Linked DNA regions of Nothobranchius furzeri. The protein of the gene in region 1 interacts with the protein of each later gene in a pairwise test. Links are inferred from orthologs where the notes say so. Each region holds a gene or a part of one and is shown on either strand. Other genes may lie near its edges. The genes, in order: tacc1, lsm7, memo1, ckap5, snrpg and htt.

Evidence for each region.
Region 2: the proteins of tacc1 (region 1) and lsm7 interact in binary tests that used the Homo sapiens proteins (3 or more experiments, as listed by UniProt). The link is inferred for Nothobranchius furzeri from reciprocal best matches to the Homo sapiens genes TACC1 and LSM7.
Region 3: the proteins of tacc1 (region 1) and memo1 interact in binary tests that used the Homo sapiens proteins (3 or more experiments, as listed by UniProt). The two-hybrid records come from large-scale screens. The link is inferred for Nothobranchius furzeri from reciprocal best matches to the Homo sapiens genes TACC1 and MEMO1.
Region 4: the proteins of tacc1 (region 1) and ckap5 interact in binary tests that used the Homo sapiens proteins (3 or more experiments, as listed by UniProt). The link is inferred for Nothobranchius furzeri from reciprocal best matches to the Homo sapiens genes TACC1 and CKAP5.
Region 5: the proteins of tacc1 (region 1) and snrpg interact in binary tests that used the Homo sapiens proteins (3 or more experiments, as listed by UniProt). The link is inferred for Nothobranchius furzeri from reciprocal best matches to the Homo sapiens genes TACC1 and SNRPG.
Region 6: the proteins of tacc1 (region 1) and htt interact in binary tests that used the Homo sapiens proteins (3 or more experiments, as listed by UniProt). The link is inferred for Nothobranchius furzeri from reciprocal best matches to the Homo sapiens genes TACC1 and HTT.

Annotation. Positions count from the first base shown.
Region 1 is NC_091743.1:54,552,009-54,556,247, reverse strand, and holds the start of tacc1 (transforming acidic coiled-coil-containing protein 1), read right to left. Parts: upstream 2,801-4,239; 5' UTR 2,573-2,800; coding exon 2,427-2,572; intron 1-2,426. UniProt on the Homo sapiens protein: Involved in transcription regulation induced by nuclear receptors, including in T3 thyroid hormone and all-trans retinoic acid pathways. Might promote the nuclear localization of the receptors.
Region 2 is NC_091748.1:58,320,411-58,324,461, reverse strand, and holds lsm7 (U6 snRNA-associated Sm-like protein LSm7), read left to right. Parts: upstream 1-1,293; 5' UTR 1,294-1,397; coding exon 1,398-1,403; intron 1,404-1,643; coding exon 1,644-1,734; intron 1,735-1,833; coding exon 1,834-1,905; intron 1,906-3,134; coding exon 3,135-3,277; 3' UTR 3,278-3,551; downstream 3,552-4,051. UniProt on the Homo sapiens protein: Plays a role in pre-mRNA splicing as component of the U4/U6-U5 tri-snRNP complex that is involved in spliceosome assembly, and as component of the precatalytic spliceosome (spliceosome B complex).
Region 3 is NC_091752.1:1,582,739-1,586,238, forward strand, and holds part of memo1 (protein MEMO1), read right to left. Parts: intron 2,533-3,500; coding exon 2,420-2,532; intron 2,140-2,419; coding exon 2,028-2,139; intron 1-2,027. UniProt on the Homo sapiens protein: May control cell migration by relaying extracellular chemotactic signals to the microtubule cytoskeleton. Mediator of ERBB2 signaling.
Region 4 is NC_091744.1:80,665,906-80,669,405, reverse strand, and holds part of ckap5 (cytoskeleton-associated protein 5), read right to left. Parts: intron 2,965-3,500; coding exon 2,879-2,964; intron 2,640-2,878; coding exon 2,544-2,639; intron 2,320-2,543; coding exon 2,197-2,319; intron 2,116-2,196; coding exon 1,966-2,115; intron 1,892-1,965; coding exon 1,688-1,891; intron 1,619-1,687; coding exon 1,483-1,618; intron 1,400-1,482; coding exon 1,206-1,399; intron 1,127-1,205; coding exon 954-1,126; intron 626-953; coding exon 602-625; intron 1-601. UniProt on the Homo sapiens protein: Binds to the plus end of microtubules and regulates microtubule dynamics and microtubule organization. Acts as a processive microtubule polymerase. Promotes cytoplasmic microtubule nucleation and elongation. Plays a major role in organizing spindle poles.
Region 5 is NC_091755.1:44,512,057-44,516,195, reverse strand, and holds the start of snrpg (small nuclear ribonucleoprotein G), read right to left. Parts: upstream 2,801-4,139; 5' UTR 2,680-2,800; coding exon 2,648-2,679; intron 2,472-2,647; coding exon 2,449-2,471; intron 1-2,448. UniProt on the Homo sapiens protein: Plays a role in pre-mRNA splicing as a core component of the spliceosomal U1, U2, U4 and U5 small nuclear ribonucleoproteins (snRNPs), the building blocks of the spliceosome.
Region 6 is NC_091746.1:25,523,101-25,526,600, forward strand, and holds part of htt (huntingtin), read left to right. Parts: intron 1-962; coding exon 963-1,121; intron 1,122-1,196; coding exon 1,197-1,294; intron 1,295-1,381; coding exon 1,382-1,521; intron 1,522-1,631; coding exon 1,632-1,695; intron 1,696-1,776; coding exon 1,777-1,877; intron 1,878-3,500.

The DNA.
Region 1 (4,239 bases):
TGTAAAATAATCAATGTGGAAAATCCCACAGTTACGGACATGTAATAATATAGTTATTATGTGTGCGTTACTGTGAAAAGAGCTTTTAGTTTACTGCAAAGAGTTCATTGACTTAATTGTCTATTTATTTTTTCAACTTATCAACTATGTATGTGTAAAAAGTGTGAAAAGTGAGAAATGCAACTACAGTGGCCGTAATCGTTTTTATGACATGATAGGTTGATAAAACTTTTCTTGAGTTTGGTGTACAAATAACTGATATTGTAAATAAATACCCTAAATATACACAAAAGTGCAGCACTGATTTTTTTAAAACAAAAACAGGTCAAGCATCCTAAAAGTGTAAAGAAACTTGAGTAAATAATTGTTAGGAGCATCGTGTACTCGTTTAGTTTAGCTTGACAGAGCGGTTATCCTAAAACTACTGATGCTCAGAGCTGAATTAGACTTTAGCAGAACTGCAGCAGGAGCAGAAATGGCTCTTGGAGGTGTAACCTAAGACACTAACCGAGGACATGTTCATGCTACGATCCCTAATCACACATCCAGACCAAACAAACAATGACATCACCAGCATGAAGACTTCCAACTCATCTGTGTTTAAAGTGAAAAGTACAGTTTTGTAATCATCTTGCAAAGTTTCTGGAGTCGTAACAGGAGGCTGCATCCTGCAGCTCTGGAGGTTCCTTCCTTTTAATTTTAGCCAATTATTTTGAAATATGTGCACGGAACTGTGGTGCATGTGTGAAACTTCTGATTACTTCAGCATGAAATCAGGCATGCTGTGCACAGCTTCCGTTGGTTCAGTATCATAATCAGTCTGAAATGGCTTTGTCATGTTCTGTGTCCCTTTGTTCCCCAGCCCCTCCAGTTCCCACTCCAGGTTCTCCTTTTGTGTTTCATGGCACCCTCATGTGTTCTTTGTCTGCTTCTTTCCCCATGTGTCTCATTATGTTTCTCCATCCCTCTCTGGATTCCCTTTTGTGTTCTCTTAGCGCCCTCATGTGTCCTTTGTCTGCATCTCTGTTATGTGTCTTATGTTGTAGCCCTTTAAAATCATTCCTCCCAGGTCCTGTCACATCCAGTCATCCTCAGCCCCTCTAGTTGTAGCTCCAGCCTCTTGTTCCCCAGCTCAGTATATGTGTGTATGAGTTTATGTGTGTGTCAGTATGTGTATGTATGTGTGTGTGTGTGTGTGTGTGTGTGTGTGTGTGTGTGTGTTTGTTTGTCCGTCCCAGTCAGGTCTGGTGTCCTGCTCTGCTCCTCTCCTCATTAGTGATTTCACCTGTGCCAGTTCTCCACACACCTGCTCCTCGTCTCCTATCACTCCAGCCCCAGTGTATAAAGCTTTTCCTTGTCTCATTGTTCTTGACGGTCCATTGTCGTTGTCAGTGTTGTTTTTGTCCGTCTAAAGTGTTCTCCTGAGCTTACTCGTGAAAGAGCTTCTGTTTTTCCTTTTGCCAGTGTTGCTTTTGGATTTATGCCCAGCCTCCTAAATAAAAGGATTTTTACTTCATATCCACTTCTGCCTCGTGTCATCCTGGGTTACTGCATTTTGGGTCCAAACCATCCTCTCAACGTGACAGGCTTGAGTTTTAAATCGCAGTGATCAGTTTTGGGCTAGAGCTAGGTTTTTGTTTTAATTAAATCTAAGTTCATTTTGTGTCTGTATGTAAATTTAATTTTAGTAGAAAATGTAAAAAAACGCCTTTTTCCCATGGAGGTTGGAGACATGAGTGTTAGGACGTTCTGTTTTTGTCACCCCGTGTAAAGAACAAGATGTGTTACTTTTTTATAGCATCTAATCCACCTACAGTGAGCTTTGCCTTCATCTTTAAGTTATCTGTTTCTGTGAACCAGAACAGGAGAAAAGAACATAAAGTTAAACTTACACAAAGGAAGAGGAAGCAGACGCAGAGCGGCCCACTACTTCCTGTTACATTCTAAGAACAACGCAGAGCAAAATTCAAGCAGTGTTTATTGTAGACATTTGAAGCACTTGGATCTGTCTCAACTCTGGTCTTCACAACAAAAGTGTGTTTAGATTTGATCTCATCATGTTGGAACAGAGCAGCTCAATGATACACTATCTGAGCAGGTGAGAGGTCAGCAAAGGACCAAGTTGTGTTTGAATACACGTGGAACAGAGGTAACTCAAGACTCAAGACAACTTTATTAGTCCCCGAGGGGCAATTCGAGACAGCATTGAGAAGCAGCCGGCACTAAAATCTCTAAATTCTAAAAACACAACCAATTTACACATTTGTAAATATAACACAGTCATCACAACACACACACACACACACACACACACCCTTCTGACCCGTCAGACTCTAACTCTTCATGATTAGAGGTTACTCAACCTGAAGCTGCTAAAGTAGGACCAGACAGTGATGATCACACCAAGGTTTCAGCTCAGCACTTGCCTGCAGCTTTGGGATCTCTCCTCCACCTCCTCTTCCGTTCTCCCAAATTGCTCCCCATCCCCACCAGCCTCCTCTTCATCCTCCTCTCCTCCTCGCACTGCTGTCCACGTCCATTTGGCCCACGACACAGGTGACAGCCACGACATCTCTCCTTATTTTGCAGTTCTTCGACCCCCAGCAGCCAAAGGTTTGTTCCTTTTCTGTCAGACTCTTCCTCAGATCTCCTCCCAGCCAACAGCTCTCACATTCTCCCACAAGGCTTTTCCCTTTTCACGATTCCTCAGTTCCCAATGAAAGAAGAGAGGCATCTCTCTCTCTTTTTTGTTTTAAATAAAACAATCTGTGAATCTTCAATCTCAGTCACTTCCAGTCACGCTGACTCTCCCTCTGTAGCAGAATACCTCAGGTCTGATCAGCTGGTTTCTCTGCTCCCTCTCTCCTCCTCTGAACCCCCTCCGCCCTGGAGCAGCTCACTGATGGAAAACGCAGGCGTGGGGGTGGAGGCGGTAAAACTGACTGGTGCTTCTCCTGACTCTGCTAAATGACTTCCCCCTGTGGTTGGAGAATGGTACGTCCCTGTCAGACCGTTCTTCCACTTTGAGTCAGAAGGAGTGAGCCACAAAACAAACACAGAGGGAGGAAGAGGAGGAGGAGGAGCTGAACTGCTGGGGCTCCACATTTAATAGTCCAGAGAGAGGTTAGGAATGTGAGCTTGGATCTAAAAGACTTATTCACCACAGCCTCCCTCCCTCTCTCGCCCTCCCCCAGGCTGTAGCTGTTAACCCATCCAGTAGCAGACAAGTGAGACCAGGAGAACCAGTTCTGTTTTGTGGCCTCAGGTTAATTACCAGACTGGTGTAAAAGTCTGAAAACTAGTGAATACACACATATTCACACAATACAGTCAATATTAGGTGGTTAAAAACCTGTTGTACTTACAGACTGATTAAACAGCTGGGAGGGTGACACAACATCACTCATCCCACTAGAGCTGTTTAAGGCTGCTAAAAAAAGAAACATCCATAACCTTATTGCTGAAATAGTCTGGCTGTTCACCATTAAAACCCTAAAACAAGTCAGAGAGCAGTCTGTCTGGAAATGGTTTAAACAATATATTCATCATGAGCTGTGGACATTATTTTGTAAGTTTACACCAGTTGAGGTGGCTCGGGCACCTGGTTAGGATGCTTTCTGGATGCCTCCCTGGTGAGGTTTTCAAATGGGAGGAGGTCACGGACACGATGGAGAGGCTATGTTTCTCGGCTGGCTAGGGAGCGCCTCGGAATTCCCCCAGAATTGATCCAAGTAACTGGGGAGAGGGGAGTCTGGGCCTCTGCCCCCACGACCCAACCCCGGGCAAGTGGAGGAAAATGGATGGATAAACGTTTACACCTTGACCACGGGAGCAAGTTTCCAAAACATCTGATAGAAATAACAACAGATTCTAAAAGTTATTTAACTTAGATCAGATGAATAACACAGGTGGAGATGCAAGCCGTGGCTATTATATACCCAATTTATGCAAATGTTTCTTATTGTGAAAGAAAATTGCTGTAAAACAGAGATTTTAGGACAGATTCCAATTAAAAACTATAGGTTTGCATGAACTGCATGATTTTTGTTTACATCAGAGGGGCAGACAGAGGATGTACCAACTGTGGGACATCCACTGTTTTCACAGAAACAGGCATCAAAAATCAAACTTTATCTGTGCATTTGGTAACATTTCATTTTATTATTTGTGTGTTTGTGAAATATCATTAACAGATTCATAAAATCTGGACACATTTGCACACTTAAGGTGAAAAACAAC
Region 2 (4,051 bases), on another chromosome or scaffold:
AGTCCCCTCTGCAGGCGGTGTCATTGCAAACAGCCTCACCAAAATATCTTGACCTACTTGTGGTTTGCAACCCACCAACTGGTACACAGTCAGGGTTTATTAATAGTAGTCATGTGTGGGTCATGACCAAGCTAATTCAGTGTGCTGGCTTGTTCATGTCAATGACTGGAGCAAGCTCCATGCTGAGAGCCTTTATTGGTTATTGATTTTTTTCCCAATAACAATACTGAAACTCAAAAAATTAGAATATGGTGCAAAAGTTCACTTATTTCAATAATCCATCTTAGACTGAGAGACCATCTAAAGGCTCGGGAACCCTTTGCAGATGTTTTTGATTAATTAGCTGGTTAGAGTGCGACACTTTGAGTCTAGAGTATTGAACCTTCTCGCACGTTCTGTTTGTCTGAGATATTTAGTTTTAGATGTTTTCGTAAGCTGTAAGCCATAATCATCACACTTATAACAAATAAATGATGGAAATATCTGGTTTTGCATAGAATGAGTTTATCTCATGAATTTGTTTCACCTTTTAGGTTTTTATACTGAAATCAATAAACTTTTGAACCATGTTCAAATTTTTTGAGTTTCATCTGTATACATTTTATTTTAAAAAGGGTTTCATTGTGGGGCAGTTGGAAGCACTGGTGACTCACAGGAACAATGTCATAGGTTTAAACCTTGGCTACGGCCTTTCATTCTCTCCATGCATGTGTGGGTTTGCTCTGGGTACATGCTCCTCCAGCAGACCAAAAACATACAAGCTGATCGGCAACCCCAACTGTCTTTAGTTGTGAACTCAGTATTAGCATAGTTTTTAACACTGTTACATACTGTTTTGATTGTGAATTTAGCTAAATAATAAACGAAAAAGGCTGTTAGAGCGAGTTTCCCACTCGCTGATAACAAAAGTGTTATAGCGTTTTATTTAGAAAGAATTTACAGGCAGTTTTCTCTTCTCCATCTCCATCAACCAAAAGAAACAAAAATACAGATTATGATCCCCCCCCCCCCCCCCCCCCAGTTTCATTGCCATGAGACTAGAACGTTCCCTTCTAGCTTCTTAGAACCTGATTGTAGTTGCAGTTTATCCCCACTGGAGGGCGTAGATTTCTTCTGAGATTGTAGCCTGTAGCTATTAGCTAACGCACAATGCAGCTGAGAAAGATGAACGTTTTTCCCAGCCTGACAGCGTATTAAGACAATCACATGAGTGTGTATTTAACTCATTACGTTTTAGTAGAGATGGTAGTCCCGAGACTTTTACAAAAATCAATATTGTTTCATTTTACTTTTTATGGTCTACAGCTGGACCTCTCTGAACCCTCTGAACGCGTTATCTCATTGGATCACTATCATTTCCTAGGGTCTAAGATTTACTTCCGGGTCAGACAGTAAATATGGCGGTGAGTTCGTAATCCATGGCTTTCATTATATTGTGTTACTTTTTATCTTTTCACATCCACATTTGTATTGTTAAGATTTAGCTTTGTTTTCTGAACAAAAGTCGACTTGAACAACTTTTATTTTGCTGTGACGGTAGACGTTTTACTTAAATAACGTGGCTAGTAGTGAGCTAAGCTAAGGCTACGTTTTGTTTGTGATTAATTAGTGACTTAAGACAATGTAACCTGGCCTTTCTGCAGGATAAAGAAAAGAAAAAGAAGGAGAGCATCTTCGACTTGTCCAAGTATATCGACAAGACGATTCGGGTGAAGTTTCAAGGTGGACGAGAGGGTGGGTGGACCAAGCTGTTGCTAACCCTTTCATTTCGTGCAAGCAGTAAATGTCTAGATTTCCTTATGTGGAAGCCTAAAATTTGTGTTTTCTTCTCAGCAAGCGGCGTTTTGAAAGGATTTGATCCTCTGTTGAACCTGGTGCTGGACGGCACGATCGAATACATGCGTGGTAAGAAAACCAAAACTCAAATCCAGCCAGAAAACTGCTCCTCAGTCTGAGTCCATGTTTATATCGATGAAGGACTTTTCCTGAACACATTCCGAAGTTCCCCAACACACATAACTATAAAGTAATAATTCGCATTAATTTCGCCCCTACCGTCATCTTTAAAACGATCTACAGTTAGTGAAAATAAGCATGTTGATCAAAACATTATGTTCATGTTCAGAGCATGTTTAAGAGACATTTTTCTACTTCACTTTTTTGAGTTAATTTGTTTTTCAGTAAATTATCAGGAATACGTGTGTGTGTGCGTGCGTGCGTGCTAATCTTGTTTGACAATAAAAGCAACATAATTTTAGATTATCTTCAGTGGACGAACATTACATATAATTACATGTAGACAAAAACATGTTGCTGCTATGTTTAAAAGAAGAAAATTCACAGGCTCTAAATAATTCATTCTAAAACATCAAATAATCCGAGAGATTTTCTGGGCTTCAAATTGAAAAAAGGTTTCCAAATTTTCAAATCACGCCCTTGTATGTAAGATTAATTTTTCAGTTTCATAAAATTAAGAAAGTCTGTGTGTAAAAGCATCTGTGGAATTGTTTTCTTTTTGTACAAACAAACAGAAAACATTGTGTAGACACCTCTCTACTGGAACAGTGTGTTGTTTCCAGGTAAAGGTAAGTAGCTGGTTGTGTTTTTTGTGCTCTTACCCTGTAAGGTTACTCCACCTATCTCCTCTACCATCACTGTGGATTTGTTGAAAATGTGATGCTAGTTTGAACAAACACTGGAAAAATGCTCAAGTTTCTAATTCTCAGTTTAGTGTTTGGAGGGGAGGGTTGAGCTAATATTCAGAGGAGTCATGGAGGCCACTCGGGTGGAACAAAAACCAGAAACATGTGGGGGGAAATTAAATTGATTTAAAAATCCCCAAACAAAAGATGAGTGGCTTTTTTCAGTTTGAGGTTTGTTCTTTAGTGGTCGAAGCAGATTTTTAACAGTGATAACAAATCAAATGTTGTTGGTTTTTTATCGCTGTTACAAGTGGTCGTCTTGTGTGGACTTAACATCTTTGAAAAATACATCTGAACTGAAGATGGTCAAAACAAAAAAATCAAAGGTCTCACCATTCATGTTTTAGTTTTGAGTGCATTCCGGTAAAATGCTTGGTGGACACCCAGCTGCTTGACATTTCCAGTGTGAACGTTCTGTGGCTTTGTGTGCAGATCCAGACGACCAGCTGAAGCTGACAGAAGACACCCGACAGCTGGGGCTGGTGGTCTGCAGAGGAACCTCTGTGGTGCTGATCTGTCCTCAGGATGGCATGGAGGCCATTCCTAACCCATTCATCCAGCAGCAAGATGGATAACCCCCATGCTGCTGCGTGGCACACTTTTGATTAGACTTTTCTTTTTTAACATTACAGGACACTTGTCATTCAGACGACAAACATGTTTTAAGTTCATCACTGGTAAAATAAGGCTCCGTTGCACTTCAGTTTTATTTCCCTGCTAATTTTGCTCATTTTTGTGTTGTGAGGAGCTCCCAGTTCTGAAAGTGTTAAAACAAATTTCTTGTTATCTGAGTGAACTTTTTACTATTCTTTGTTTTTGATAAGAAAATAAAGTGGAAAAAAAGCTGAATCTGAATGTTTTTCTCCTTTGAACACAGAGGACGTGTTGGAAAGTTACACCAGATATGGTCTATTCGAAAGGGTGACAAGGATCTGAGTGGTTTTGTTGACCCGACAGACGTCCCCTACCTGCTGGTTGTGACTGACTCGATGGGTCTACAGACTACTGAACTCTGCAGTAAAAAAAAAGATGAGTGTGTTTAGGTTTAAAGGGAGTTTCTGTGTTTGAAGATAAACCGTTCAAGCTTGTCTGCACACTCACAAAGACACATATGTGGCATTAACAGCTTTTAAGTCAGTAATGCATTAAGCTGGGGTGGGGGTGTAAAGTAATGATATCTATGGATTGTTCCTTTTGAAAGAAAGGATCTTCAGTAGATTTTGGCGTTGGAGAAACGCAGAAACAAAATGCTGATGAGTTTTAAGTGAGATAACTGAAGCTGTTTTTTAAAATGGCAAAATTTTTACTTAACTGGATGTGAAACCTCCTAAAAGTAGGTTAGAATAGTG
Region 3 (3,500 bases), on another chromosome or scaffold:
ATTTTCGTTTCGTCTGACCACAGAACTTTCCTCCAGAAGGTCTTATCTTTGTCCATGTGATCAGCAGCAAACTTCAGTCGAGCCTTAAGGTGCCGCTTTTGGAGCCAGGGCTTCCTTCTTGCACGGCAGCCTCTCAGTCCATGGAGATGCAAAACACGTTTGACTGTGGACAATGACACCTGTGTTCCAGCAGCTTCTAATTCTTGGCAGATCTGCTTTTTGGTGATTCTTGGTTCCCTCTTTACCCTCCTGACCAATTTTCTCTCAGCAGCAGGTGATAGCTTGCGTTTTCTTCCTGATCTTGGCAGTGATGAAACAGTGCCATGAACCTTATACTTACAAACAGTTGTTTGCACTGTTGCTCTTGGGACCTGCAGCTGCTTTGAAATGGTCCCAAGTGACTTTCCTGACTTGTTCAAGTCAATAATTCGCTTTTTCAGATCCATGCTGAGCTCCTTTGACTTTCCCATTGTAGCGTTTGTGGGCGTTTGTATCCAATGAGCCCTATTTACCTGGCCTAAGAGAAGTCACCCGCTGTAGTCACTCATAATCACTCACAAGAAGTTAAGAGGCCATGCTATGAAGCTCAGTTCACTGACACGTTTCTAAGTCACCAAAATTGCTAGATCATGTTGCTGTATGTATATTTGTGACCCAGCAGATGTGATCACTTTTCTCTGTTAACCCATAATAAAGACATTAAAGAACCAAACTTCATGAATGTTTTTTGTGACAAAGAAGTATCTGTTCCAATCACTCTATCAGAGAAAAATCAGAGTTTTAGAAATAACGGGACACTCAGTAGAGCCATTATATTATATTTTTTACAAGTGTATGTAAACTTCTGACCACAACTGTAAAATCACACCTACCAGAAACACATGAAGAAATATGGTGTCAAGCTCTTTTATGAGGATTCTTCTAAAACTTTTGACTTTTCAAATATTGAAACCAAAATGGTAAATGGCCATTTGTATGGCGCCTTCTTGGGGTTCCAACCCCCCCCCCCCCCCCCCCCACCACCACCACCACCACCAAGGCGCTTCACAACACAATCAGTTATTCTCGCATCCACACACATTCACACTCTGATGGTGATGAGCTACATCGTAGCCACAGCTGCGCTGGGGTGCACTGACAGGTTCACAAGAAGAAAGCACAACAAATATAATTTTTTTACCACATGTTAACATCTAAAACTGTAATCCAGGGTCCTTCGCCATTATTGCAAAAACAAAAATCTCCCAGTTGACCCAAAATGAACCCTGGGATAGCTTTTGCCTATGAGGGCACACTGGACTCAAGATTCAGGGAATGTGAGGAGACATTTGTGAAGCCTTCAAACTCGGATGGACTTGTTCCTTCAACGTGACATAACCCAATTTAAAATGCGTACTCGGAGGGATGAAGGCCCTGGATTGGGACACGCCCAATGAGACAAATATGGCTTCCAGATGTAGAGGATCAGATTTACACGAAGAAGAACCTGGAGCTAAATTCTGATTGCAGAAGCAGCTTTTTGGTGCCAAAACAGAAAATCTTCAGTTATTAAATGTTTGGAAGACGATAAGGAGCAGCGGCTTTCACTCAGAATAGTTTCTGGTTGGTTTGTATGAAACTCATTTTAACTGATAATTCCAAATCTAGTTTTTGTCTAACACGACGCCGTGTGTTTTACTCTGGTGGTATCTGGACTTTCAATTTTTGTGGATTTCATTGCTGGGAAAAAGTTTCACAAACAATCAGGATAAAGGACAAAGTTCCCATCAGATTTAGGCGTGGCTAACAAACCCGATACTTGTCTAGCTGGTGTGATAACCACACATGCCACAAGCTCCATAATTATAGCATTACATTACCAAAAGCTGCTTTTTGTGTTAAGCTTATGAGAAAGCAGAGCTCAGCCACCAACCAGCAGAAAAGGCTCATTCATCTGGTTTTAACCGTATTATTTAGTCCGAAGTAAGGAAAATGTTTCATTCTGTAGCTTATTTCCATTTAAAGTTGTTTACGGTGAATTGCATTACCTCTCCATGGCTTTTGCAGTATAAGGCAAGTGCATTTCAATGCTGTGCTCATCTTCATCTGTCTGCACACTCATCCTCTCAAACAACCCAGTCTTCCAGAGGTCAGCGTAAACTGCAAGAGAGAGGTTTTACCTTTAATGTATGCATGTCGTCGGTGCGTTCGATTGGCTAAATGACTTTTGCAGCTGCATGTTCTTTCCAGATTCAGAATCTCAATGAGAGCTGAGTAAAATGCTTTAATGCAGTGATTTAGAATGAGTGAGAAGATGTGTACAGTTGCAGTTAGACGGTTAAAATGCACTTTAAATTACAACTAGGCTATTCCATCAATGCATTCACACACACGTCTGAGACACGAATAAGAGTAAATATAAGAGAATAACAGTGAGTACCCTTCTGGTCAATTCTCAGGTCATAGAGCGGTGTTCTATAGATGTCTGCAGGTGACAGGGCACAGCGGGAGAGGGGCACGTGATGTGAAGGTCCCAGAATGAACACCCTACGACTGATCGGAAGCAAAACTTTATCTCACTCACAGGAAAACATTCATCACCAGCACAACCTTCTGTTAGCCAAAAAACATCGGTTTTATTGCTGTTGCAAGATAAGAATTAAGATAAATGATGGCATTTTCACATGAGGCCCGGCCCGGTCCGGTCTTGGTTGGGTCAGCCCATTCCTGCACAGCCAGGTTTTGTTCTGTTCACACAGCCTTCTCAGGAACGTGGATGTCTGTGAGCATGTGGGCGGGGCAAAAGGTGCATTACCAAGTCTGTGGTGTCCTCTTTAAGTTAGTAAACCAAAGCATCCTCTGTCATAAAGCACACTGCTTCCTACTGTCTCACTGAGCAGTGATCATGGACCGTGCATGCAGGAAGTCACGGCTGGTTGAATCTAACCAGCAGTCAGAGGCTCCCCCTATTGGGCAGACATGAACTTCAGCCGGCCAATCCCAGTACACCCGGCTGCAGCACGCAGAAAGGGGCGGCGTCGGGCCAGTTGTCAGACCCGTACCATATTTGGAAAATGCAACACTTACGTTCCGGAACTGAAGTGGGCAGTGTCGGGTCGGCTGTCAGACCAGAACTACGGCTGTTACTAGTTTACGATTGTTAATACTCTGTTCTATGTTCAAATGAAGCAAGATTTGCTACATGGCAAAACCTGAATTTATATCCCAACATGAAAAGGTAGGTTCCTGTCAGTGAATCTCTGCCCGTGGCCGCTCTGATCACAGTTTTGTATTTCTATGGTAGTCCAGTGGCACCGAAATCTGCCTTTGTTTCGTTTCGCCCTCTGCTGACGTTGGCTCGACTCTAGGTGGTGTCGGCAGTCATTTATTTATATTCTAGGTTTTTTTTTTTAATATTTTCTGCGAAACATTTTATGTCTCTAAAGATCTTTGAATGTAGTCGTTTCCAAGCAGCATTTTAGTTGATCCTCTGCTCACACACGGACTCACACTGGCTAAAT
Region 4 (3,500 bases), on another chromosome or scaffold:
GCACTGAAACCAAAAGATACCGTGGCTTCCTAGGGGTACCAGAAAACCTTCTGGGTCGCTCCTGTTTACTGGTTTAGGTTCTTAAACAAATATGGAGATTTTTTGCCTGCTGGTGTCGAATTACAAATGCCGGCGCTGCTGCATGAGCTCGGCGCAGACGTGGAAACCTCACGAGTCACTGACTGCAAACTGTAACTAAATCCCTCTTAATTATTTTTGAAGGAGAAAAACTGCAGAACCCCCAGCCAGCCGAGACTGAAATCTGTGGCTGTGCCACCTTCCCTCCAACATTACTGAGACAATAAACTGATGGTGATTATTTCACTGTAGAATTCTTACTTATTGCTCCTTTAAACATGTGGTCCTTAATCTGAGCCAACGGCCTCCGTTGACTCAGCACAAGCAACAACACTGACAAGAGAACAGGTCCTCAGGTGTGAGGTCACCGACTCGAGGGTGGTGTTGGGGGTGTTAGAGGAGACAGCTGAGCCTTTCGACCATCAGTCTGCTGCCACATGCCAGCAGAGCTAAAGGTCAAAGGCTCAGGGGGTTAGGATGCATTCATAAAATCAATGACACCAGGAGGAGGAGTTGTACTCACATCCTATACGTGCGATACATTATTCTGCTCCAGGAAAGAAGGCAGCAGAGCAGAGAGAGGAGGGAATCACACAGGGAGAGAGAGGAGGGGTTAAAGGTGGACAAAGACAGGGTTGCTCTCACAGAGACGTTCTGACTCCGCATGTCGCTGTGAGGGTAACCCAGCATGCACCAGTTCAGAAAACAGGACAGATTAGTCCAGAAAAGGAGATGCTGAAGAAAGGTCAAAGGTCAGAGAGTTTAAACCAGACAAAAATCAATCAATCAGCAGAAAAGAAGAACAGTTTTAAAGATCTGTCAGTTCCACGTCAGCAGCGACCCATCACTGTGCGTGTGTGTGTGCATGGACCTACTTGAGCTTGTTAGGGTCTTCCTGAGCTGGCTTCCGGAGGAAAGTGGCGGTGGAATTGGTTGGGTTTTCCCTCTGCGGTCTGTCAGCCGGCGCCTGTTTGGGCGGAGCTGCAGCAGCCTTCTTAGCCGAGCGTTTGATCCGCTCCTCCAACATGCTCATGTCCTTCTCCGATAGCTGGAAGCAACCAGAGACAAATACCAATCATCCATGTCCTGTTGTGTCCAGTTCTGCCGCAGCATCAGGTCGTTCTTACGTTTCCGATCAGTTTGTAGACCTGGTCGCCGCAGACGTTGTAGACGGCCACCACGGTGTTGAGAGCAGCGTTACGGACGGACGTGTCTCTGTCCCCAATGTGGACAGCAATCTCCTTCAGAGACTTGGCAGGAGTCGGCTGACACACATTCATCCCGTATCCTTCGATCAGACAGCCCAACTCCTCCAGACACTCTGAGGAAACAGAGGTTTGACTCAGATTTAGCTACAAAGACACCGAGCTGCTGATACTCCATTGTGACCTATCTGAGACCTACCAGCTCTCTGCTTGGAGTTCTTGGATTTAGTTCCTTCCATGAGGAAAGGAAAGATCTTGGATGCTGGGTAAACTTTACACAGCATAGCGAGAATGGCCCGAACATCTTTACGAACTACATCCTTAGATTCTCCAACCTGCAGAAGACAAAGTAAAACTCAGAGCCTGATGGAAACCCGTCTGGTGTCCCAGTGTTACGCCCACACCTTCAAGAGCAGGTAGGGGATGAAGGAGTTGGCCTCATACTCCGTCAGGTGGTAGTTCTCCCTGTTCAGCATGGTGAACAGCAACTTCAGATACTCCAGAACCTTCATCAGGACCGTGGTGTTGGTGTCAAAGAAACGAAAGGTGAACCACTTCAGGATCAGGTCCAAACAGCTGATGGTAGCATCGCTCTCGCTCTCCAGCCTCTGTCAGACACAGATGGTTAGAGAGACCAGGCTCCTGTTGGAACGGCAGCAGAAACCGGACAGAGACATTCTACCTCCATCATGACACCAATGGCCTTCACGTGTCTCTGGAAGTCGAAGTGAAACAGCTCATCCTGCAGCCACTTAGCAAAGCAGGTGGACATCTGGGTCTTCAGCTGCTCCACGTACTCGTCTCGAGGAGTGATGAAGTTCCACTTTAGGATCTACCAACACCAAGAGCCCAGCGTTAAACCGACCTGAACACTAAACACACGCTCAACACATTGCAGAACCACGACCGGTACCTTCAGCTGCTTCTCCTCTTTGATTCTCTGCTCCTTGGCATTTGGAACGAGGATGAAGATCGGTCCAGACTTGTCCTCGTCGTCCTTCAGGCCTTTGGCTGCAGGCTTCTTACCAGCTGGACACTGGGTGGGGGCGGGACTCGTTAATGTTTATCAACAGGTTAGTTTTACAGTTAGAGAGAAAAGAGAAATAAAAGGAGTTATGGAGGGAGGACACACACACACACACACACGTTTGGCTGTATTAGTGCACACAGCAGACTGATCTGAGAGCAGCTGGACTAACTGCCAGGCTGACAGGAGTCCACAGAGACGTAGAGGACAGTTTCCTCAGGTGAGACGTCTACCTGTTGGCTTCCAGCAGCAGCCTTCCCTTTGAGGGGGGGCTTTTTACTACCATTACACTCCTTGTCCTTGGGGGGGGCATCGTCAGGAGGGGAGGACTGGGTGGGTAAAAATAAACATGTTCAAACAACAATGATGCGAAAAAAGAAAAACACGTAACATGAATGGAGGTGAGGGGCGTGCACGTGGCCGGCACGTAAAACTTTAGCATAAATGATCAAAAACACATTTTCTCCATCATGACTGAATTCTGACAGGAAACAACTGGGAAGGTGCCTCATCCTGGTTCCTGCGAGCACACCAAGAACCAATGAGGAAGCCATGTGAACTGAAGTACCTTCTTAGCCGCTGGTCCTCCTCGGACCTTCTTCGCTTCAGGTTTACCATCAGGGAGGTCCTCGCTGGCCGCCGCACACCTGGAGGCTGCGGGTGACAAATAACCAGAAATGATCAACAGCCAGGGCTCTAGAGGGCGACCAATCATGAGCGTGTTTGTCACTCAACTAGTAACCCGCGCCTTACTACTTCGCCACAGAACCGCTCATAACAGCGGTTTTCCTTAGCATAACAGCCGCCGCCCACTGGAGCCAGAAACAACCTCGAACTCCCCTTCAAAATAAAACGAATGCATAACTTTACTCTTGCATCTTTACCTCAAACCCTTACAACAATAATAAATCCCACAAATCTCACAACAACACAAAGTTGTGAGATTTGTTCTTTTCTACGCTCTTTAGTCGGTTTAGAGCTTTAATGTTTGAAATCGGTTCGACTGTTCCTGACAGCAGCTACGTTTAAGTGTTCCTGAAGCGTTGCTGCTCTGAGCTTCAGCACGTCGGTGTGGACTCTCCGTCATCCTGAGATTTCACTGAAAACAGCTGGACTTCTCTGGTTATCTACAAGACGTTTCACTTCTCGTTCAAGAGGCTCCTTCAGCTCTAAACCTTGGAGGCTGAGAA
Region 5 (4,139 bases), on another chromosome or scaffold:
ACGATCTAAGTGAGACATCCTCATCTTAATCTGCTCCGGTAGGTAAATAACATGTTTAAGATAACGTTAGCTCGATATGTTAGCTTCCGTTTCGCTAATGGTGTGTTCGCTTTCTCCTCGGAACTTCGAATTTCCGACTGGAATAACATGAACGCGCTCTAAAGTTTGGCTTCACTTTACTAAATGCGACGGGTGATTGGGTGAAGATGAAACCAGCGACAACGATCTAAGTGTGAGGCATCATCGTTTTAATCTGCTCCAGCAGCTAAATAAACTGTTTAAGATAACGTTAGCTTGGTATGTTAGCTTCCATTGCCACCGTTGTTATCAGCTAATGGTGCGTTCGCTTTCTCCTCGGAACTTCGAATTTCCGACTGGAATAACATGAACGCGCTCTAAAGTTTGGCTTCACTTTACTAAATGCGACGGGTGATTGGGTGAAGATGAAACCAGCGACAACGATCTAAGTGTGAGGCATCATCGTTTTAATCTGCTCCAGCAGCTAAATAAACTGTTAAAGATAACGTTAGCTTGGTATGTTAGCTTCCATTGCTACTATTGTTATCAGCTAATGGTGCGTTCGCTTTCTCCTCGGAAATTCTAACTTCCCAGTAGGAAAAATCAAATGAAAAAGACGGCAAAAGGAATGAAGATACACAGTAAATTTAGTTCACAGTAAAGACGTTTGCTTCAGTTTAATTATCAGCTTATAAAACTACAAGGACCATGTTAAAATACAAACAGTTGTATGTTTTTTATCGTGATATTTATCAAATATGGTTATATATTGAGAAAAATATATATTTAATTATAAAAGAGAATTAAAATAATAAACACTCAAAAGTATCTAAAATTGATACCGTTAAGTACCGGTATCGATTCCTAGGTACCGGGAATTAGTACCGGATCGATTCAAATGTCAAAGGTACCCATCCCTAAGTCTGACTGAGCGCTTCCAGGAGAAATTATGAAAACAATAACGCGTGTTTGGAGCATCGGTTTAGAGGAGCGTCCTGCGATCCTCTCGTGTGAGTAGACAGTCTCTCTCTCTGATCGAGCGGAGCGCGCCACATGACAACCCGCTCAATTAACATAATTCACGGCCCAAATCCAACAGAACCGGTCGGGCTGATTTGGTTCCGGCTCAGGTTACAACTCTAGCGCTCAGCAATGCAGTACCACATCAAGGCGGAACCACGTGGTAAATGTGGAGGACGCTCACTCTGACAGATGCTGGTGCCGCCGTTAAAAAAACAAAACTACATTCCACTATAATCGATTACGGCGTACTCTTCTACGATTTATGTCCGCATCCCGATGCATCGATTATTTTCCTCAGCTCTAATTTGAATGCAGGAAAAACCCTGCACAATCTTCACAGAACCCCTGCAAACCAAGCTATTTACCCCAATTATGCAGCTAAATAAACAAAAGTAAATACAAACATTTAAAATCTAACCAAACATTAGCTGACATGCCTAAAAAATGATTTTACACCAACAGAATGATCTCTTAAAAGTTATCAAAGAAATATATTTATTATTGCGCATGTGTATACTCACAATTGCCTATCCCTAGACTCACTCTGTCAGTGTTTGAGGCAAGCAAACGACCGGATGCAGTCTAACTTCCTCCAGTTTAACAAAGACGAGACTGAAGTTATCGTCTTTGGGAATCAGAAGGTTAGGATGGACGTTACTGCTCAGCTCGGCTCCAGAGGAACGAAGACAAGGCAGCTTTATGTCTCGAGCACGTTTCAAACACAGAGGCAATCCTATGTGCTTTACAGTCACCAGGACATGATAAAACACTAACTACAACACACACAGATAGAATTACAGTTTAGAGCTAAAGGACAAAGACTCATAACTGATTCAGACCTGAGCTGCACCGGGTCAGAACCAAGCAGGGTGATGCTGCACACAGATGAAATCAGCTTCCCCGCGAGCTCAGATGTGCCCCATCTCTGGTCTCTTTATTCATCTTCCTGTCAGTCGTTGCTCCTCGTGCTGCACCTTCTGCTCTGGTGTTCCCAACCCTTCTCAGCCTTTTGATTTGACTTAGATGGATTTTAAATCTGCTGGTTTTTGTCAGACTTGCTTCATAGACCCAGACCAGGCTGAGCACCACGGAGGACAATGCCCTCCACCCTCTAACCTTTAACCCTACCCTGAGAGTTTAAGCACACCCCAACCTACAAGCGGCTTTTAAGAAGGACTGAAAACGTTTCTCTCTAGTAGATCTTTTATAGTAAAGCTTTTCATCTTTCATAATCAACATTTTCCTTTCCTCTAAACGCGTTGAGATTGTCGTGATGTAAAGCGCAACACAAATGCAATCGATTATTATTCCGTCACGTGGTTTTAATGTTTTAGCACCTTAAAACTATAAACTCTTCATAATCACAATAGGGGCTTTAAAGACATATTCGTAAAACGCCATACTCACATGAAAGCTTTTTATCCATGAATCTGAAACATAAAACAACATTTCAGGCGACGGTGGTTCACAGTTCAGGCAGGGTTGCTAATGTTAGCCTCATGGTAAAGAATGGAGCAAAGCTAACAGGCTAACACGTTCTTTCCGTTAAAATCGTGGAAACAAAATTAATAATTTCTAATTGTTATTTTTAAACACGTGAACTTACTTCTTCAGCTCTGGCGGGTGTGCTTTGCTCATTCTGTATCGTTTTTTGTACCGAAGTCCGGTGAGCTAGCTCGTCGGGGTTACGTTGAACAAAACCGCGGAAGGAAAATGTGACCGGAAGTGAAGCAGTTAGCGTTTACAGTCCCACTACGCCCCCTCGAGGCGGGGAGGAGAACGTGTTAGGGTTGGATCTGCAAATATCTGCAAGAACACTTTGTTTCAAACAACTTTTACAATTTTATTGTCAATCTTACAAAAAAGCAAAAGTAAACGTAAGTATTACATATTATACTGAAATGTATTTGAAATGTAAAACGATGTTAATAAGTGCATATTTTATGTTCCTTCTACCTTATTGTTTGTATTCAGTTGACCATTTATTTTGCTGTTGAACGACAGAGATGCATTGTGCTGCCTGATTTTTACCTGTCAGACCGGAGTCCCTAGCTCCCAGCAGTGTCAGCTCAACTTCGTTCTCTTCTTTTCCAGGATGGAAATCTGTTGTGCAGTTTGTATAATTTACACAATTTAACCTAATCTTTAAAGTTATTCTTTCATTTCTGTAAATTCTCATCAAGTTAAAAAGTATAGTTAAAATTAAGCAGATTCAACAGATAACAGGAAGAAGAGCTATTTTTGACAAAGTAAAAAACAACAAATAAAATTCAGTGAAACCAAGTTTGACTATGAAAACTCATGGAAGCCCACAACCAATATCTAAGAACACAATAAAACCAGATTGTGATTTCAAGAAGGCAACTGTAGAAGTCAAGTCCATTACTCGAACTCCTGAGGCTGCTAGACCGGGACCTGGTTGACGCTCTGTGTTGATCCGATGTTGACTAAATTACTTGAACAGCCTTAAGCGTGGAGTTGTTATGATAATGCTTCTTGTTTAATGTTGATTGCATTCCAGGATGTAACAATGATAGGAGTAATCCGATTACTTTCCCATTCAAACGTCTTCATGCCACAGCGGTCAAAAACCTGTTTGCCCTTCCGGAATAGTGCCTGACGCCAACAATGACATCACTACCTTTATTCCGACCAGTAACAATGACATCACTACCTTTATTCTGACCAGTAACAATGACATCACTACCTTTATTCTGACCAGTAACAATGACATCACTACCTTTATTCTGACCAGTAACAATGTGATAGAGTGGGAACTCTGGAAGTTATTTGCTGATCTGACAGTATCTTCAAGATAAGGGCTCCGGTCAGAGAGCAGGGCACGGAGAGACAGTTTTACGTATTTAATGACAGTTGAAGTATGGACATCTGTACATTTCTGTGGTTCCGTGTGGTCTGGAAAATAAATACAAAGAATGATGTAAAAGGATTGTACAAATGGTGAAGTAAATATGCCAACGTTTAAGACTAAGCAAAAACAAATATATTCCCAAATGATGCACATTCAAGGGTAACACAGAGTAAATATTGTGACTTCCAGCCTCAGAGGCACTGACAAATTATATGATCTCCAGGGA
Region 6 (3,500 bases), on another chromosome or scaffold:
GTCATACATTGCAAGGCCTTGCACCTGGTTTGTGTTGAGAATGAGGGTGTTTCTCAATGTCAAGGCACCTGGCCTTGCAAGGTGATGTCTTGCGAGGCCAGGTGCCTTGCTTACGAGGACCTTGGTCAAAGAAAACGGTAAAATGGAACAGACTTGCATCATGTGACCGCAGCTTCCACGGCGGTCACGTAACGTCACGTGACACGGAAGATAACGTTATATTTCATCTCTATTAGTTGCAATATAAATATATAACGAGCCTTTGAATTTTTAAATTGTGTATATGTTAATTAAATTAAAAATATAAGCGAGTTACTACCCGCTAGCCACCGAAGCTGCAACTACCAAGCAACTAACAACCATAGATAACTCTTAGGATCTAAAAAAAATTTTTTAAATTAGTTTACTTACTTTTAAACTTGAAAATTGTCCCCGAAGTAGCTGCCGGCTTCTGATCCACTGTCTTTTTTCAAAATACAGCGGTGTATTGTGGGTAATTTTTGACCAAGGCTAGGCTACAAGACCCCTCCCGTGTGTCCTCGCTCAGCTAGCTAAACGGCTAACAAACGGAGAACACACGCCTCGGTAGAACACGAACATTGGAGCATGCCTTGGCGGCTCCCGATGACGTATCTCCTAGGCAACCGGGGCGGGGCCAAGACATCACGGCGAGGTTCCTCGGCATTGAGAAACACTCTGACTCTGCTAGCAGCGTGAAACGGAGGTCTGGTGGCCATCTTGAATCGAGTTGACTCGGTGTTTCCTCGAAGTGAATCTGGTGAAAACTTCCTAAGATATTTAGCAAACAGACATGCCACGTTCCAGTGTGGTATTTAAAGCATCATTAATCCGTTTACAGTCACAATATTTACAAACTGCATATTTGCTAAAATATCTCCTATTTTGGGTGATTCCTGCAGTGGACCGTGACCTGCTGTGTTTTATGCTGCATCCCTTTGCAGAGCGACAGTACGTCAGCGACGTTCTCTGCCTCATCACCCACGGGGACCCCCAGATCAGAGGAGCCACAGCCATCCTCTGCGGAGCCATCATACAAGCTGCGCTAACCAAAACACGCTACAACATTCACACCTGGCTGGCCAGTGTGCAGCGTGCAACAGGTTAGCGTCTGCTTTTTCTGCTGCTGGCATTCTAAACCTTATAAAAGTAGCTCATCAGGTCTGCCTGCTCTTTAGGTAACCCTTTGTCCCTGGTGGACTTGGTGCCTTTGCTCCAGAAAACTCTTAAAGATGATTCCTCTGTCACCTGTAAGATGGCTTGTTCTGCAGTCAGGGTGAGGTGGACCCGTGTGCTTTTTGGGTCTCGGGGCTCTAGCTGCAGTTGTGAGTCTGACTTTTTTTACTACTTGTGGGTGTTGCAGCACTGCATCATGACCCTCTGCAGCAGCACCCTGAGTGAACTCGGCCTGCAGCTGGTGATCGACCTCTTTGCTCTGTGGGACTCTTCCTACTGGCTCGTTCGCACCGAGCTCCTGGAAACGTTGGCTGAGTTAGACTTCAGGTAAAACAAACTCGAATACCCAAATCCAACATCTCAAACACTGACGAGACTCCAGATATTCTGTGTGTCTGGAGGATTTCCACATGTTAAAGTTCCTGATTTTTCTTTAGATTAGTCGGTTTCCTGGAGAGGAAAACAGAAACTTTACACAGAGGAGCTCATCACTACACTAAGGTAGGTTCAGACCTGTTTTCGTCCGTGTTTCTGTTATTAGTCCGGAGCTTTATTGTTCTGGGTTGGTTGATGTTCTTCTAGTGGCTGCTGCTGCAGGACAGAGTTCTGAATGACGTGGTCATACGTCTGCTGGGAGATGACGACCCAAGAGTCCGGCACGTGGCGGCGTCTGCTGTCAGCAGGTGTGTGACGGACTTGTGTTGATGCATCAACTGCAGTACCTAGATCTGACCACAGAAGGTCATTCTTCCTTCATGCTGCTTTAAGCTAGTTTTATTTCCTTGTTTTAAATCAGGGGTCGGCCGCGGCTCTTTTATCCATCTGATGCGGCTCCCTTCTCGTAAAATAATGAATGAATATTGAATATTATTCATTTTTTATCTGTATGCCAATTCTAAATTTAAAGATTGTCAGCGTAAACCGGAACAGGTCCAACAGCTGACAGGTCACCTGCAAATGTCTCTATAGGGGCTTTCTGAGTTGAGAAGGATGTGAGATTCTGGACTTTTGCCTCAGACAGGCTCATGAATGCATCGCTGCGTCGCCACATTGGAGACAGGAACAAGCGCTATTCAGCCAAAGTTTCATAATAGAGTACATTTTCTAAGAGACGAGTCTCTCTAGCCTTTTTCAGATAGACATTCTGGAACATTTGTGGACAATTCAATCCGGTTTTTAACCGGAACTGTGTTTTCAGACACACCACTTTTGTACCGGAACTTGTCCTTTCGGCTGCGTTCACACAGCAGGGAAAAGTTCCAGATGTCTGACGGCGGCGGGGGGTGGGGTAGGGGCGGAGAATCTGACTTATGTTTAGAAGAAAAAGAAGAAGAAAATATCATTTCTATAGCGCCTCTCCAGATAAAAATCACGAGGCGCTTAAGCATAATTCTGCGCACACGAAGACGCATAAGAGACCTGGATGATGAAGCTCAATGGTTAAAGGAATCACTGAAGCGGTGTGAAGCGCTCCATCGCGCGTCTAGGCAGTACCGTAGGAGGCAAGCTGCCGTGGTTCGTCGCATGCTACAGCAGCGAGCTATCTAGGTGCGCACAGCGTCCCCGTTCCCCTCCTCCTTCCCCTCCCCCTTGTCCGGAACTTTACCTCACCAGTCTGAAGCAGCCACCCTGTCTGTAACAAGTCCGGACCTGTTACTAGGGGTTTCGTCCGGTAAAATTCCGGAACACCTTATCCGGATGTTTGTATTCAGACACAGAGGTCTTACGGACAGAGTCCGGAACATTTCCGTTTTTCATGGCCTGTCTGAAGGGGGCTTCTGAGAGACACGGTTTGGGAAACACTCGCTTCAGTGAGAGGAATCTTCCTGCATGCGCACCGGTTCTGCAACGCGCTCCAAACCCCCGATCTACACATCAGCTGAATAAATCTTCAGCTCGCTGTCCACCTTACGCATGCGCTGAGCTCAGTGTCCAGCTCTGATGGGAACCTTTTCTTGATTGACATAACTACTAGGGATGAGCCGGATACTGGTGTCAGACGAGTATCCGGTACGGATAAAATATTTTTGACGAGTACGAGCATGAAACGAGTAAAACTCGTAAATATCTGTAATCGTGCTGAAGGAAAATCCTCATTGGGTAACTGACTGAGTTCCCGCTCTGTGATTGGCCAGTCAAATAGAGTGCCCGCCCCTCCCTACACACAAAACTGCAGTGGGAGCTCACAGCTCAGTCCGCGTCCGGTCCATCCACGCGCGCGCACACACACACACACACACACAGACCATAACGGATCTCTCTGTGCTTGCTTCACTGTTCACGTTTCTTCAATACTCCCTACGTTT